Coturnix japonica: one gene and its partners. The protein of the gene in region 2 interacts with the protein of the main gene of each other region in a pairwise test. Links are inferred from orthologs where the notes say so. Each region holds a gene or a part of one and is shown on either strand. Other genes may lie near its edges.

Region 1 (4,218 bases), on a different chromosome or scaffold from region 2:
GGTGATGAGGAACAGCCACGGTGCTCCCATGGACTGTGAGTCCCCCTCACTTCCAGCACCGGGACATGAGAGCGGAGATCCAGAAGCTCCCATTGGCCTCAGAACCCAGAGCTGCTCCTTCTCAGCCCTTTCCTCGCCCTCACAGCTGCAAAGCACCCATGGGTGCTGCTACTGCTGGCTCAATGGGCAGAGTTCAGCTCTGGGACCTCAAAGCTGCACGAGGGTTTTTCCTGGCTCCGTTTTACCAGCAGCTCCTGTGACGTTCAGGCTGGTGAGAGGACATGAAGGAAACCAGCCCGGTGCTGCCGGCCCCGTGGGGCTGAGCGGGTCTCAATCACACACACGGGGTGGTGGGAGAGGCCTGGCAGGGATTCCCTGCAGCACTTTGGCTGTGATGGAAGTTGGGCTGTTGGGCTTTTTCTCCTTTCCTCCACCATGGAAGCGCTGTTGGGACCCGCAGGGATCACCCAGCCCAACTCCCCACAGGACTCACCCAAAGGGGGGGCAGTTTGCTGCATGTTTTTGTGGTTTCAAGTGAAAGGGAGAAAAATCCCCCATTCCTGGGCTGGAAACCTGGAGATGGACCAGAGCACTGAGCTCATGGCTGCAATTGTGTCCTGCCCCAGCTCTGCAGATGGAAATGGGGGGAAATGGGGTGAGTTTGGGACTCAGCCTCAATGGGACATTCAACTCAACTCAATGGGATGCTCAGCTCGATTCAATGGGACAGTCAGCTCAATGGGACACTGAGCTCAGTGGGATGCTCAGCTCTATGGGACACTCAGCTCAATGCAATGGGATGCTCAGTGGGACCCTGAGCTCAGCTCTATGGGATGCGTTGCTCTATGGGATGCTCATCTCATCTCAATGGGACATTGATGTCAATGTGACGCTCAGCTCACTGGTCTCAATGTGCCACTCACCTCGGAGCTGTTCTCAGCCCAATTCAAGGTTCGGTTCGGCCCAATGCAGCCGCCCCCCCCCGCCTCCGTGTGATCCCCAGCTCGGCCCAATGGCGGTTCGGCTGCAGAGAGGACCCGGTTCGGTTCTGCAGATGGACTCATTGCGTTCAATGGGGCTCAGCTCGGTTCGGTTCGGCCCAGCGGTACCGCAGCTCGTTGTGCAGGATGTGGATCCGCTCCAGTCGGTACCGGGGGGTTCGGGCGGTACCGGGGTCGGTACCGGGGGTTCGGGTCCCATCCCGCTGTGTAACGGAGCCGGGTCCGGTAAAGTTTTGTACGGACTCTGTAGCTGTGAATGGGGCTGGGATGGGGGGGGGGGGGGGGTGTCTCCCACTTCCGCACTCCATTCCCGCCCCTCCCGGACTCGCTTTCCCGTCACCCCTCGCGGGTGGGGGGTAGGGGGCGGAGCTTGATGTCACGTGACTAGCGGTATATAAGGCGCGGCCCCATTGTTGTCGGCAGACGGCGGCGGGGCGGGCCGCGCGGCCGCGACCGGGCCGAGAAACGGAGACACGGGCCGCCCCCCGCCGAACCGGGACCGAACCGGGACCGAGGGGAGACGTGAGTGGGGGGGTGTGGGGTCTATAGGAGGTCTATAGGGGGTCTATAGGGGATGGGGGCTCTGAAGGTGGGAGGCTCTGGGGCTGAGGGGGGTCCATAAGGGATAAAGGGGGGGGGCTGGAAATGGGAGCCTATAGATGTATAGGGTGACGGCCTTAAAGATGGATATAAGGATATAAGGGATGACGGCCTTGAGGATGGACGGGTGTAGGCGGCCCTATAGGGGTGGGATATGGGAGCCTATGGCCTATAGGAGGTCTATAGGAGGTGAGGACATTAAGGATGGGGGCTATAGGGGATGGGGGGGGTGTATAGGGGCTGTAGGGAGCCTGTAGGGGTTGGGGGGGCTGGAAGATGGGAGCTGATAGAGGACATAGGGGGTGTATGAGGAGTGTGGGCCTTAAGGATGGAGGGGTGGTGGGGATGGAGGCCTATAGGGGCCTATGGGGGATGGGCCTGGAGAATGGGGGCTTATAGGGGCTGTAAGAGGTGAGGGCCCTAATGATGGAGGGATGTAGGAGATGAAGGCCGTGAAGGTGGAGGCCTGTAGGAAACCTATAGGGGTTGGAGCCTTGAGAACAGGGAGGATGTAGAGACTATAAGGAGCCTATAGGGTGTGTATGGAGGCTTATAGGTCACGTAGGAGACCTTAAATATAGAAGCATGTAAGGGATGGGGGGGGGTTACAGTTGGGGTGGGCTGAAGATGGAACGATAGAAGCAATAGGAGCCCCCCCCCCACCTTCAGAGCTGCCCCTTTTTCCACTCCTGCTTTTTGGGGGCTGCCCTTTCTTATCCCTTCCCCTTTTAGGACCCCCTTCCTTTTGGGGACCCCTCCTTTAGTCTCCAGCTTTTTAGTGTTCCCCTGTTTTTTATCCCCAGCTTTCTAGGACCCCCCCCCCCCCACATTTTACTGCCCCCTGCTTTTGGGGGCTGCATTGTCCCCCCCGCCTGCCAGCAGCCCTGCACTGCTGCTCATTGCAACGCATGTTGTGTAAGTGCTGCTGCTGTGTGAGCTGCAGCCTGGAACATCCACAGGGCTCAGCTGTGGGATCCCCTGATCCCAAAGAGGAGATCCCCGATCCCAAGGAGGGATCCAGTCTGCCCTAAACTGGGGAGCCCAGTGCTCCAATGGGGCCACCCCAGTGCAGAGCAGAGTGGGGAGCTGCTTCAGGCCTCCAGGGCACAGTGCTGGTTTGTGATCACCCCATAGCCGACCACTGGTCAACTCTTGGTTAACCAGTTGGCTTCCATTGGCCTTCATGGCCACCAGGACACCCTGCTGGCTTCTGCTCAGCTCTTGGTCAACCAGTGGCCAACTGTGGGTTAACCAGGTTAACCAGGTCAACCAGGACACCACCAGGACCAAGGGCTCTCGTTATGGGAGAGGTGCTGGTTGTGTCCCCCCCCCCCGGCCTTGTGTTACACCTGGATGGGAGCAGCAGCGTGAGGAGGAGCTCGGGGAGATGAGGGGTGGGTGGGATGGTGGAGGGATGGATGGATAGAGGGGTGGGTAAGGGATGGGTGGGATGGTGGAGGGATGGAGGGATGGATGGATGGATGGATTGATGGGCAGATTAATGGGTGGACAGAAGGGTGGACAGAAGGGATGGTGGAGGGATGGACGGACAGGAGGATGAATGGATGGCAGCTGGATGATGGCGGGGTGTACAGAGTCGGGTGATGGACAGACAGACGGATGCTGATGCTGACAGCTTCCTCCGGAGCCGTTTGTTCTGTTGCCATGAGAACCGTCGCTGCTGCAGTGATGGAGCAGAGCAGAGCGGGGCTGAGCAGCTTCAGCTCTGCCCATGTCCCTGTCCCCAAATCCCCCCACCCAGCCCCCCCAGGCACAGCCCTGTTGCCGGCTGAGCTCTGCTGTGTGCTGAGGACACCCCACACTTGGGGGTTTGGGTGCAGGAGATGCAGAGCTCAGTGGGGAAGGCGGCTTTGCACATTGCTACACCATGGGCCCAGCTCTGCCAATGGTGTTGGTCCAGTTATGGGGACCCCCCAGACACCCCCCACCACCATCCCCATCCTGCAGGTCCCCGCTGACCCCATGGATGCCATCGGCAGCGGCCGCCTCAAGAGGAAGTTTGAGGATGCAGACGTGGGCTCCCCGGCGTCCAACTCCGACGATGAGATCTCCAACAGCGACAGCGCCGACAGCTGCGACAGCGTCAACCCTTCCAGCTCCAGCGGCTTCATCCGTGAGCGGGGGGACATGGGGATGGGGGGGGACACGGAGATGGGGAACGTGAGGATACGGGGTCGGAGGACACGGGGGGGGGAGGGATGGGAAGGGGGGTGGGCACAGGGACAGTGAGGGGACAGGAGTGAGGATGGGGACAGCAAACAGTGGTAGAGCCAAAAGGATGAGGATGGGGACATGGGATGGGGGTAAGATGTGGGTACAGCAAATGGTGATGGGGGGAGGACAGGGTTTAGGGACAGGAAAGAGTGTGAAAGTGAAGGGGCCGGGACATGGGGACAGCAAAGAGTGACCAAGTGAGGGGATGGGGGTGGGACATGGAGACAGTGAGAGAGTGAGGGGACAGGGCAGGAAGGGGTGACAGTGAGGGGAGGCAGTGGGGCTCCCGATCCCATCCCTCCTCCCTCCCCGCAGCCACCTCCATCCTGAAGAGGCAGAAGCAGCTGCGCAGGAAGAACGTGCGCTTCGACCAGGTGACGGT
Region 2 (3,560 bases):
GCTGGCAGTCCATGACTTCAGGGAATCTGGAACGTATTTTGGACAGGGTTGGAAAAGAGCAGAAAAAGGGCAAAGCTTAAGTGCTGAATGTCCACTTCATTTATTAGGAGCATACAGCACATTCTGTGAGCTTTACACTTCATTTCATAGCCAAAAATCAGGAGCCTGGGGGACTTTCTATCATTTAAGCATAAATATTTACTTGAAACATCTGAATACTTTATTACCATTGTTTTTCCACTGTTCCAAAATAAAATAGAACATACGTGGATGGTAAAGAAATACCTTCCAAAACATTATGACTTACAATGGCTTAAAGCAGTTAAGCAGTCTTCCAGTTTAAAGCCATTTCCCCTCATCCAGTCACTACACACCCTTAGAGAAGTCTGTAACCAGCTTTCCTACAGGCCCACTTCAGGTACTAGGAGGAGGCTGCTCTAAGATCCCCTCAGAGCCTTCTCTCCTTGAGACTAACTCTCAGCCTGCCCTCACAGGGAAGGTGCTCTAGCCCTCTGATCATCTCTGTGGCCCTCCACTGGAGCTGCTCCAACAGCCCACAGTCCTTCATCTGTTGAGGTCCCCAGAACTGAACACAGTACTGCAGATGGGACCTTACAAGAGCAGAGCAGAGGGGCAATATCACTTCCCTCAATCTGCTGGTCATACTTCTCTTGATGCCAGAATACAGTTGGTCTCCTGAGCTTCAAGCGCATGTTGCTGACTCATGTTGGATCTTTCATCAACTGACACTCCTAAATCTTTCTCTCCTCAGGGTTGTTCTCAAGCCATTCTCCACCCAACCTTTACTTGTGCTTGGGATTGCCTCGACCTAGGTGCAGGACCTTGCACTTGACCTTGTTGAACTTCATGCAGCTGGCATTGGCCGCCTCTCAAGCCTGCCTAGGTCCCTTCGGATGGCATCCCTTCCCTCTGGTGCGTCAAATGTACCACTCAGTTTAGTGGCATCTGCAAGCTTCTTGAGGATGCAGTCGGTCAATTTCACATGTGAAGCAAAGGTGCGTCACTGAATTCCTCCATATGGAGACCAAACAACAGATGGTAGCACAGCAAGGCAACAAGTGGTGTGTTTCAGCAGTGGCAACAGTGTCATGAAAGATGAGGCACATTCCAGACAGCCACACACAGCTGTCACACCGCAAAAATCAAGAGTACTTTGATCAACTCATCAACATGAATTCATGTATTACAGCCAGTGAAAATATGTACAGAGCTAAATATTGGCTTCAGTGCATTGGAAACTACAGTGGAAACACTGGAATATTGCAAAATACACACCAGGTGGCTCCCATGAATGCTCTCACAGGAACAGGAAGAACAAATCAGGACATACTGAACAAATAATAGGCTGAAGGTGACAGTTTCCTGGATCGTGTCATTACAAGTTGTGGTGTCACCACAATCAGCAGCAGTCAAAATGACAGTCCATGGAGTGGTGACGTGAATTCTCCATTAAAGAAATAAATAGGAGGCATTACTTTCAGAGCAACCCATAATTGTTCCTTGTAATTACAAGCTTTAGCTCCTAAGGTAGGTACCAGTTTTAAAAAAAAGATCCCCATCCTTCAACAGAGAAGACAAGTAATTTCTCTAACACATCAATACCACCTGGGAGCTGCTATAGACTCAGCTGTGTAACACTGTATTAGTTTTGGATTTACAAAGGAAAGCTAATACCTAAAAGCATGTTATGCTTAAGACTGATAAGCTTACAGTAGCTGGCACTGAAGGCAGAACCTGTCAATACACGATACAAGTGCAGGCTGGATCATTCCATACAGGCACAACCCTCATAGAGATACTTGAATAAAGACAGGGCAGCAGTCATCAGTACACATTTCAGAGAAATCTGCACAGGAATTTTAGGTATAAGTTACATCTAAATCCTAGTGGAGCTGTTCAATCAAACTGTAGATTTCTGCAGAGCTCTCAATTCCAGTGGTTTCTAATCACCTCCTTGGCAATGCAGACATGATACCTACCACACCATTTCTGGATCAAGCTGCTGCGTAAAGAAGTTAATTAAAAAGATAGATGGAAGACTGTGGGATAGCTCTTGCTACTACAGAAGTAATTCGAAAGCGTTGTCAATTGTTTAAATTGTTGCAATAGTACTCTACAAGGTCCCAGAATCCTCCAAGTATCACCTCCTATAAAAACACTGAGGTGTTTCTTTTGACAAAGAAGAGTGACTAAGTCCCAGTACAGGAAGAAGTCACAGCCTTCTTGCAAATCAAATCCTTTTCTTCCACTACAAAAATTGTGCAGCACAGGGACCAGTACCCAGAATGTATGTTTTCCAACAGTCAGGATCCTTTGGAGTCAGATGGAGCCATGACTGATCCAATGTCAAATGCCTCAACTCAAGCATCAGGCTTGATTGTGACTATGTGCCAGGGGTCTCTTCCACCAACATCTTACAAAACCAGATAAAGAAGCCAAGACCACAGAGCTGGGGTTACTTGTGAAGCTTTTTCTTTCATTTCACAGCTAGAGATTCCAGTATCTGCTATGCATCAGTACATAGCTTTGCCAACAAGACATGAAGCAAAAAATTAGGCATGAATTCTCATGTATTGACAGGAATAATTAGATGCACTTGCCCCTCTGACACAAGTGGTCATTTATGACTGGGAAGCAAAATATTTCTTAGCAGCCAGATGTACTGAAAAAAGCAAGACAACAACAACCTTTGCAGACAATATACATTGTGAGCTGAACATGCACATCCTCGCAATTCAATACAACAATAATCCAAAGAACAGCTTAGACACATCCTTTAAAAGTAGTCATCCATTTACCTCCATGACAGCAGAAGATCTTCTCATCCACAATGGCTGCAATTGGCAAACAGTTAAAGCAGTCTGTGAAGGTCTTCCAGAGCTTAATGTTAAACCTCCGCTTACCTACAAGAGCAGTGTGAGAGATTAGGAAAAGATGACTATTTTCTTAAAGCCAACCTACAACATGTATTACAACTTGATTGGGGATGTAAACTGACTGTCTTCACACAGCTTTATTTCTGAAACCTGAGTACACTCAGAGACTCCTACAATACCATTTCAGAAACAACAGAATAGAAAATAATTCTAAGTTTAACCTTCTTTTGATAGGCTCTTTGAGAAGGTTTCAAAGCAGGTTCACAGAACACTGAAATTCTTATAGCACATGAATCGTGAGTCATTTACCAGAAGTACTTCCAAAACACAGTATTAATACACATCAGCCTTTCAGAAGAAATAGGTTTAACTTACATTCATCATAGAATCCATAGATCCGGTTGATGCTAGCACACTCATGATTTCCTCTTAAGAGAAAGAAGTTTTCTGGGTACTTTATTTTATATGCCAGAAGTAGGCAAATGGTTTCCAGAGACTGTTTGCCTCTGTCTACATAATCTCCAAGGAAAAGATAATTTGCTTCTGGTGGGAATCCTCCGTATTCAAATAGTCGAAGCAAATCTGTATACTGACCATGAATATCACCTGAATAAAAAAAGGATTACCACGGATGAGTGCAACAATGTAAGGAGTAAACATATC
Region 3 (4,324 bases), on a different chromosome or scaffold from region 2:
CCCAGGGAGTAGCTTCTTCCCCATGCTATGCAGCAAGCAGAGAAGGGGAAGATCGCTCTTCCTCATCCCCCAACAAGCCAGGAGGGGTGGAAAGCTATGGGGAAATCAGTAAGACCACTGTGCAAGGGCTCAGTGCAAAGCTAAATATAGCCATTATCTCTGCTCCCAAAAGATAAGAGCCTGTGTCCACAGCCCGCCACAATGCCCTGCCCTGGCTTCCACCTACCTTTGCTTCAGAGGCAAACAGTAGGCAGCAGTTGTGAAGCAATTCGCCCTGCACAAGGCAAACAGAGCTTCTATCACGCGACAGAAATGCACCCTGAGCCACCGTGCTGAGCCAGGCTGCGGTAGCGCTGCCTGGAGATGGCTGTGCAGACCCAAGGGCCTTTTGGGGCCTCTGTCCATTGCTCTTGGGCAAATCCTTGCTACCCCGCATCCCTGCACAAACCTTGTCGCCAATCAGCCCTGCTGAAATTCCACACTGCCGCTGGCATGTAAAATACTGATCCACATCTCCAAGGGACCTGCAGTAGATTTCTCTCCCCAGCTTCCTTATCATTGCCTTTATCTAAAAGCAGGAACCTATGAGGCTAAAACAATGGTCTTTCCCCCCAACACAACCCTTTTGCATCGCTTTGCATCGCGGAGCAGCGAGTTGATTAAGCAGCAGCTTTACAGCAGGAAGTCTCTGGGTTTAACAATAGCCATGCCTGCTTCCACCGGCTAATTAAAAACAAATGTTGACTCTTCAATACCGCTTTTATGCTCTGGGAGGGAGGCGGGAGAGCAGCACTGCTCACATTGGTGTGCTCGGAGGCCAACAAGAGGCTGTTACTCCCAGCCTTGTCACCATTCCCAGCTCCCAGGAGGCGAGGAGGAGGTGTCGCCGCTGGAGCATTGAGTTGCCTTGGGATGGGCTTCTGCCGGCCGCTTGGCTCCCGCAGGTGGTTGTTCATAACACTGTCATTGTAAGAGACGACTTTCTCGTGTCTGTGAGAAGCTCAGTTTTTCCACTCCGTGCCCTAAATCTTGTCAGGAAATGCGATTTGGGAACGTCTCCTGGCATTTCTGCCCCAGAGCTTCAGCTATGGGACGGAAAGTGTGAGTAACCCTCGTTCCTCACCCCACCCCACCCCACCCCTCAGTGCAAACCGAACACCTTATTGAGGACAGCAGCCCCCTGAGAAGGCCTCGGGGCATTCCTGTCACCTTTGGCTGCTCGTTGCTGGCAAAACCCCCCGGGGTTGCACCAGTTTCATACCAGAGAGGCTCACAACGCCTGCTCAGGCACAGGAAATTCCCTCAGGAGACCCCAGGCATCCAGCTGGCTTTTAGAAACCCCCAATGCTCGCCCCAAACACCCCCCCCCCCCCCCCAACCCACCCCAGCGAGCGCAGCCCCCCACCCGGCTGGGTACGACACATCCAGCCCCATCGCCGCAGAGGAGGAGGGTTCCATTGAGGAGGACGGCACCCATTGGTCAGGCGGCAGGGAGGGAGGGGCGGGCGGTGCCTTTAAGGGTCCGCTGTGGGGCCACCCTGTTAGAGGTGGTGGTTCGGGGTTGGGGCTGTGTGAGCGGGCTCATGCGCTGCGTCAGGTACGGGCTGTATGGGGGACGGGGCTGTGTCACGGGGGGTATCCTGTAGGGGTCGTGGGGGTAACCAGGTCTGTGCTGTGGGAGTTGCTTGATACGGGGTTGGGCTCAGTTGGAGGGGGGGTGGTGAGTGGAATGCAGCCTTCCCCTTCTGAAAGGGGTGGTCCTGCTCGCTCCCTTTCCTCTGGTTTTCAAGTTGGATGTGCTTCAAGTCGTGCAAAGCAGGCAGGATGCTCCTGGCCTCTTAACGTTAAATGCTGGTTGTTACTGAGGCTTACAGAAGTACCTGAGCGCTGAATGGGAGATCAGGTGTATGGCTGCTGCTGGGAGGGGGTGCAGGTGAAGTTGTCCTTGGTTTGTTTGAAAGGAGGAAATGAGCTGTATGACATATGTGAGAAAGCCAGTGAAACCAGGAAGAGCTGAACGGCTTGGTGCTGGCAGACAGGTGGATCCGCTGTCTGTCCTTGTGCAGGTGCCCTTGAGCTTCAAAGAAGGCTTAAAGAAGAAATGCAGGAGGTAGCTGGTGTTAGGAAGCAAACCTTTGTCTATGCCTTTTAACGTAAGCAAGTGCTGCTGCTGAAGGGATGCTATGGAGGGCTGCCCTGTTGGTGCTGCAGGGTGGGAAAGTAAAGCACAGACTTGGAGAGAGCAGCTCTGTTGCTTTGTCTTGGCACAGGGACAGCTATCAAGTCCTATAGCTGGCTGTGTGTGGCTTTGGCAGCACGAGCCCTTGTGCGGTCAGCTGCTGCTGCTCTAGCAGTGAGACCGGCTTTGGAACATGGTCTGCAGCCAAACAGGGAATTTAATTAAGGAAGTAGCCTGCCTTCAAGATATGGGTGCACAGAGGGACTGTGCTGTGTCACTGGGAGCTGGATGCTAGAGGAGGAGATGCTGTGGTGGAGAGACACGCAATCTGTGCCTCTGAGGGGAGGGCTTATTTCCAAAGCCTCTGTCAGCCTTGAGTACATCACACAGCTTGCCTGCTCTAGCTACACTGATGTTTCTTTAAGTGTTTTGTAGGCTTAAGGTGTGCATTCTGCGTGGAGGAGGAACCTTCTGGCTGCCTGATACCTGTTTTAAAGTGCGAAGTGGGAAGAAAGTTGCTCTTCTATAAGTGTAAAGTGAGAATCAGTAGGACCAAGTAGCCACAGATCTTTGGTTTAAGTCAGAGGTGTTCCAGAGCCTGCTATTGCAAGCCTAAAAGGGTGATGACTGCATGTGCCTTAGCATGGTGACTTTGTAGCAAGCAATGGGAAGTTGTCTTGCCCTTGAGGGGATGTAACAGGCTATGGCTGAGCCACAGCACTGTGGTAGCACGCTTCCCAACATATCTGTAAGTCAAGCAAGTACTGGCCTCTGACAGAGCTTGAGGGACTTTGGGGGTGATGGAAACTGAGCTTCTTTAGGATGGATGGGGAATAGTGTAGCAACTATCTGACAAGTCACTGAAATGCTTCTCTGACATAAACTGCTCCTTCTTTTGATCTTTCAGTGTAATAGACTATTTTCCTCACAAACAAGCAATGGCTGTGGATGTAGCAATGCAGCTGTACCTGTGCTCCTCACCCTTGCGAAGAGAGAGGTGTGCCTGCAAAATTGCCCCAAAGCCAAACAAGCCATTGCGGCCGTGCATCCAGCTGAACAGCAAGGCAGTACTGACTGGACCAGAAGAGGCAGAAAACTCCTTCACACACAACAAGGTGAAGAAGAAGGTGTCGTTTGCGGATAGCAGAGGCTTTGCTCTGACAATGGTGAAGGTGTTCTCAGAGTTCGATGATCCTCTAGATATTCCTTTCAACATCACCGAGCTGATCGACAACATTGTGAGTCTGACAACAGTAGAGAGGGACAGCTTTGTCCTGGACTTTGTCCAGCCCTCTGCAGACTACCTGGACTTCAGAAACCGTCTTCAGACAGACTGCGTGTGCCTTGAAAACTGTATGTTAAAGGAGCGCTCTGTTGTGGGCACAGTGAAAGTGAGGAATCTGGCTTTTGAAAAGTCCGTGAGGATCAGGATGACATTTGACACCTGGAAAAACTTTGTAGATTTCCCGTGCCAATATGTCAAGGATACGTACGGAGGATCAGATCGGGACACTTTTTCTTTCGACATCAGCTTGCCCGATGGAATTCAATCCCATGAAAGAGTTGAGTTTGCCGTCTCCTTTGAGTGCAATGGCAAGGTGTACTGGGACAGCAACAGGGGCACAAATTACAGAATCATACGCTCAGAACTGAAGTCTGCCCAGGAAGCCCTCCGCCCCCCGTGCAGCCCAGACTTCAGCAGTGCCTTTGACCAGTTTGGGAGTCCTCGGTGCGCCTATGGTCTGTTTGCCGAGTGGCCAAGCTATTCAGGATACGAAAAGCTAGGGCCCTATTACTGACATAAGGACCTAATGTTCTGACTGACTGTTGGTGGTGCCTGCAGACGTGGGAGTCTTCCTAAACACGAGGTGTGTGGAAAGGTGGAAGAAGTGAGGCTCCCTGTAGCACTGCATAAGCCTCCCAGCAAAAAGAAAAGTGCAGTACTCTGCTGGCAGTTGGCTTATAATCAGGGGTGCATCTCTAATGCAGAGGGCTGCCTTCCCTGTCTCAAGTCAGATAGCAGACTCTCCAGATGATCAAAAGAAAAGGAGATGTCGCTTGCCTGTCTGTTCAGTGCTGCTACTCCTTCCTCTTCTGTAAAGCTGCTAGTCTCCAGGGATACACTACAGTGCTTGGGTTGTCTGC
Region 4 (4,321 bases), on a different chromosome or scaffold from region 2:
AGAGACAACAGCAGAAAGCACACAGCATATACTTAAGATACAGGCATGCTATTTCTAGTAGGTGGTATACACACGGGTTTTATCTCGTTTGTCTTTCTTTCCAAGGATAAGTTTTGGCTAAGAACTTCAAGAACATAATATGGCTTAACGAGACTGCTGAGTTTGGAGTTGTAAAGGCAGCCACACCTGCCGGGTGGTTTTGTTATATAGTTCTGTGAACCAGAAAGCTAACACTGGTTTGCTGCCAAGTGGAATAATATTTCCAAGCTAGTGTCTATCACCAATATGGTGATGAATTTTCAATCCCACCTGAGCTCTGCCACTGGGGGAAGAGGCCACTGGACAGCCTTGGGCTGCCGAGCTGATCGGGCTCTCTCTCTTGCCCTTTCCTTGGAGCTGGAACATCAAAACAGTCCTTTGTGGCAGATGGTATCCGAACACCATCAGATTTCCACTCTGCATGGAGAATCTTGTAGTTCTGCCCCTCATTATTGTCCCAGAAGGTACGCTCGCCACTTTGGTAGGAAATGCAGAACTCAATTTTCTCTTGAGAAGGAATGGCAGGAGGCAAGTCAATAGTAAATGAGAAGGTATCATTTTCAGAATCACCATAAACATTGTTCATGTACACACACTCAATGTCCGTGTAAGTCTTCCACGTATCAAAGGTGATTCGAACCTGAACCTTCTTCTCAAAGCTCACATTTTTTACTTTCACAGTGCCTGACAACACCTTCTCTTGTAGGCTGCAGTTCTCCAGGCAGACCAAGTTCCTCTGCAGGCGGTTCCTGAAGTCCAGGTAGTCAGCTGAGGGACGAGGGAAATCCAGAATCAAGTTTTTCTCCTCGTGAAGCTTCAGGTTAGACGTTATGTTTTCGAGACTTATAAGATCAAACTGGAGATCCCAGCCAGGGTGCTCCTGGAACTCTGAGAAGGTGTGTATTGCCGTCAGGGAGAGCCCCTTTGAGTCTGCAAACACAACTCGCTTCTTGGCTCGGGCTGCTGAGTGGTTCCAGTCACTCTTCTGTGCTTCAGAATCACGTTTCACATGGAGACAGGGTCTGAGAGGTTTGAATTTGTTCACAAAGTTATTTCTCTGGCAGCCCTCAAGGGGGCTGAGGAAGCTCTTCAGTGGAGGTGAATGAGCTAAGCAGATTCTCATGGCCACATCCACAGGCATGATGGAATTTGGCAAGGGTCTCGGATCTAAGATCTGAATCATTCTGAAAGGAGCAGAAAGACAGCATATTATTATTTGATACATTGGGGAAAAGCTTGTTAAGAATGCATATGTGCTTCATCTGCTGTCTTAATTATTCACAACCTGGTCTTTGCACAGCTTTAAATAATGCAGCCTAAATTAATATTGACAGTTCAAGAGAGGAAAAAGAATGAACATACTGTCATTTCTTTACAATTCTGCAGTCTTTCAATACGAATGTAATTTGCTTTTTCCAAACCTCTGAAACATGGATTTTAGAAACAGCTAATAAAGCACATCCTAATGTACCAGTACAAACAGATCCACCTGCAGTGAAAGTGCTCATCCACTTCAATTTCTTTCAGTGACTGTGAGCCTAGTCTTAAAAATCTAACAGGGTGGATCAGCTGCTGCACCCGAGCAGACAGCACTAGAGTAATCAAGTTACCTGTCCCAGCTTGGCTTTGGTTAAATCAGTTTTGAGCTATTAACCCAGGTCTAGTTAAAAAAGCTGGTTTGCATTGTGAGCATTGCTGAGTAAGTGGGGGAAAGAATAAAGGAGCTGAAGGAGAATTGTCTTCATCTTGTGTTTTGAGTAACGTATTAAAAACATTCCATTCCTTATATTCCCCAAAGTCCATACCTAATGCAAGCATTTCATAAGAATGCTACAGCTTTCTTTGTTTAGATTTGTTCCTAAACCTGACTCTCAGACGATGAAAACCACGATTATTTTACAAAATGCTCTCAGAAATATGACTGGGGTTTTGGATGGTCCTACAAGGAGCCCACAGTTGGACTCTGTGGTCCTTGCAGTTCACTTCCAACTTGATGTACTCTGTAATTCTATGACTCTGAAACCACGGTCGGTTAGCAGTATTTGCAGAAGGGGCTCCTACTGCAGTGCATCTCTTCTGGTAAAGATCCAATCCTTGCTGGAAATATGGAGTTCTGTTGAGTCATGGGAAGAAAGAGCACTTGCTTTGTCACTTAAATAAATGGCATTCTTCTTCCCAGTGTTCTCACTGGTATTCCAGAGCACTGCCAAAAAAAGCAGAATCTGCACTGACCTCTTCGTTCTTCTTGCTTTTTTTCCCCCCCTTTCTTAAGCTATGGCAGCATTTACCATAATAGGTAGTGGAGTACTGGCATCAAATTTATCAAGTTTTGTTTGGCTTTTAGCAGCATCAGTATTGTATTCTCTCTAGTTTCCATGACGAGCTCCATAGGCTGCTGCTCATAACGTTATACAACATTAAAAACAAAACAAAAATAAAGGGCTACGCTGCTAGGAGAGGCAAAAATCTGCCAGCAAAAGATGATAGAGTTGAGCAGCATTCACAAGGCACTATGCAAGCGCTAAACGCTTCTACAAGCCTGATAAAAATCAAAGTAGCGCAGTGCAAAAGTACATTCCCCCAAAGGATGAAGATTTTATTCCCCCCTCCCCTTTACTTACTTCCTTCTGCGGGGCTGGAAGCGCACGCTAGAACCGAACCGACCCGAGGGAGAGCAGCCGCAGCGCGGGCAGCGGAGCCAGCAGCGCTCACCTGCGGCCGATGGCGAGCAGTGCGGGGCGGTTACTCCGCAGCCCCCTCGCTCCGCTCCCTTTATGCTCCGGGCTCGGTCCTGCCCCGGGGCGCGGCGCGGCGGGGCTGTGCGTGCCGGGGGGCCGCGTGGGGGGGGGGGAGGCCGCTGTTTCTCCACGTGGTCACGGCTGTGGGGCGGGCGGTGCCGAGTGCCGCCCCCTGGGGCTTCGGTGGTTGTTATTGTTCGGTCGGTGCGATGCTCGGCGCGTGGTGCTGCCGTGCCGTTGCTTCCTGCTGCATCCAGGGCTCTCCTCTCCCCATGCCCACCCCTCCCCCCCCCGCACATCCCGCAGAGTCGTTTCCAAAACTGCTGTGCTTTAAATAACTTGGATATTCTTGCCCCTGAGAGCCCGAGCTTTGCTGTGTTGGCTGTACGCGGTCGACAGTGCCGGCTGCTTGTCTCACAGCGGTCTTTGCAATGGGGAGCTCTCCTTTGTCCCGATCAGCCTGTCTGCACCTCTTGCATCCCTTATGGGGGTGACGTGGCCTCGGTACGGCTCGGGGGTGGCTGGAGCTTCAGATGGGGCTCAGAGGTAGTGGGCCTTTGCCAGAGCTAGAAAAGCAAATGGGTTTGCTCTACAAGACTTCCAAGAGAACACTTTAACGTGTCAATGTGGGGCTTCTTCCTGCTGCTGCTTTAGCAGGACACTACCTAACAGAACAAGAGTAACACCAGCTTGAAACTGCAGACTCAGATTTGACTAAAAAGAGCTGGATACTTGTGTTGCCAGGGCCTGAAGTCTGTCATCCTGGGCTATACTTGGCCTTGACTGAACTGACAAAACTGGAGGTTTCTTTTGCATGGTACTATTGGCTGTTCAGCTCCACACACAGCAGTGTGAGGGTACTGGAGGTCCTGCTGTACTTCCCACGTTGTAGCTGTTAGCTATTTCTAGAGCAAAGGGGCAGAAAGCAGTAGCACGCGGTCTCTGCAGTGTGACGACAGTCACACCATCACTGCCTGCCCCCACAACTGTGTGAGCCTGGTGTGGCTGCATGGTTTCACTGTCACCTTCCTGCCCACTCTCTCCCAAGTGCAGCCCTGCACTCATGATACTGAGTATGTGAGCTATTCTGAGCTTTTATCAGTAGATGAGTTCTGTGCACAATGCATGACAGGAAGCACTATGCTCTACATGGAACAAAAGGGACTTATGGTGAAGAAGAATAGAAGATAATAGGATTTCTCTGGCTCATCCAAATTGTTTTTCTTTACATGGTTTGTGAATGAAAGGCTCTATTGCTGTGCATGAGAGGTTGTTAGGAGACAGCACTTAAGCACAGGCCAAGGCATGGCAGGCGAAAAGATGCCTTCCTCTTGGATTAAGGCTGTGTAGTAGCAGAGAAACAAACAGCCCTGAAAGTGCTGGAGGGAGAAGTCTCCTCTAGTGACTGAAGTGTGGCACACAGACCCATACACTGCCTCTGTGTGTATAATGAAGGCATTCATAGGGCAGAAAGGCTTCAATTTCTTAGCAAGACTCTTGGTGACTGAAGTTCCTGCCCTTTCTGCCAGTAGGTGACATTAAAC

The links.
Region 1: the proteins of PPP1CB (region 2) and CSRNP2 interact in binary tests that used the Homo sapiens proteins (3 or more experiments, as listed by UniProt). The two-hybrid records come from large-scale screens. The link is inferred for Coturnix japonica from reciprocal best matches to the Homo sapiens genes PPP1CB and CSRNP2.
Region 3: the proteins of PPP1CB (region 2) and PPP1R3B interact in a two-hybrid assay, tested with the Homo sapiens proteins (2 studies listed by BioGRID and IntAct). The link is inferred for Coturnix japonica from reciprocal best matches to the Homo sapiens genes PPP1CB and PPP1R3B.
Region 4: the proteins of PPP1CB (region 2) and PPP1R3C interact in binary tests that used the Homo sapiens proteins (3 or more experiments, as listed by UniProt). The two-hybrid records come from large-scale screens. The link is inferred for Coturnix japonica from reciprocal best matches to the Homo sapiens genes PPP1CB and PPP1R3C.

The regions. Positions count from the first base shown.
Region 1 is NC_029544.1:1,405,227-1,409,444, forward strand, and holds the start of CSRNP2 (cysteine/serine-rich nuclear protein 2), read left to right. Parts: upstream 1-1,389; 5' UTR 1,390-1,523; intron 1,524-3,569; 5' UTR 3,570-3,584; coding exon 3,585-3,735; intron 3,736-4,151; coding exon 4,152-4,218. UniProt on the Homo sapiens protein: Binds to the consensus sequence 5'-AGAGTG-3' and has transcriptional activator activity. May play a role in apoptosis.
Region 2 is NC_029518.1:24,309,043-24,312,602, forward strand, and holds part of PPP1CB (serine/threonine-protein phosphatase PP1-beta catalytic subunit), read right to left. Parts: intron 3,504-3,560; coding exon 3,273-3,503; intron 2,925-3,272; coding exon 2,820-2,924; intron 1-2,819. UniProt on the Homo sapiens protein: Protein phosphatase that associates with over 200 regulatory proteins to form highly specific holoenzymes which dephosphorylate hundreds of biological targets.
Region 3 is NC_029519.1:44,186,788-44,191,111, reverse strand, and holds the start of PPP1R3B (protein phosphatase 1 regulatory subunit 3B), read left to right. Parts: upstream 1-1,510; 5' UTR 1,511-1,583; coding exon 1,584-1,597; intron 1,598-3,086; coding exon 3,087-3,978; 3' UTR 3,979-4,324. UniProt on the Homo sapiens protein: Acts as a glycogen-targeting subunit for phosphatase PP1. Facilitates interaction of the PP1 with enzymes of the glycogen metabolism and regulates its activity.
Region 4 is NC_029521.1:17,281,233-17,285,553, forward strand, and holds the start of PPP1R3C (protein phosphatase 1 regulatory subunit 3C), read right to left. Parts: upstream 2,826-4,321; 5' UTR 2,662-2,825; coding exon 2,661-2,661; intron 2,243-2,660; coding exon 2,101-2,242; intron 2,085-2,100; exon of another isoform or gene 1,845-2,084; intron 1,224-1,844; coding exon 278-1,223; 3' UTR 1-277.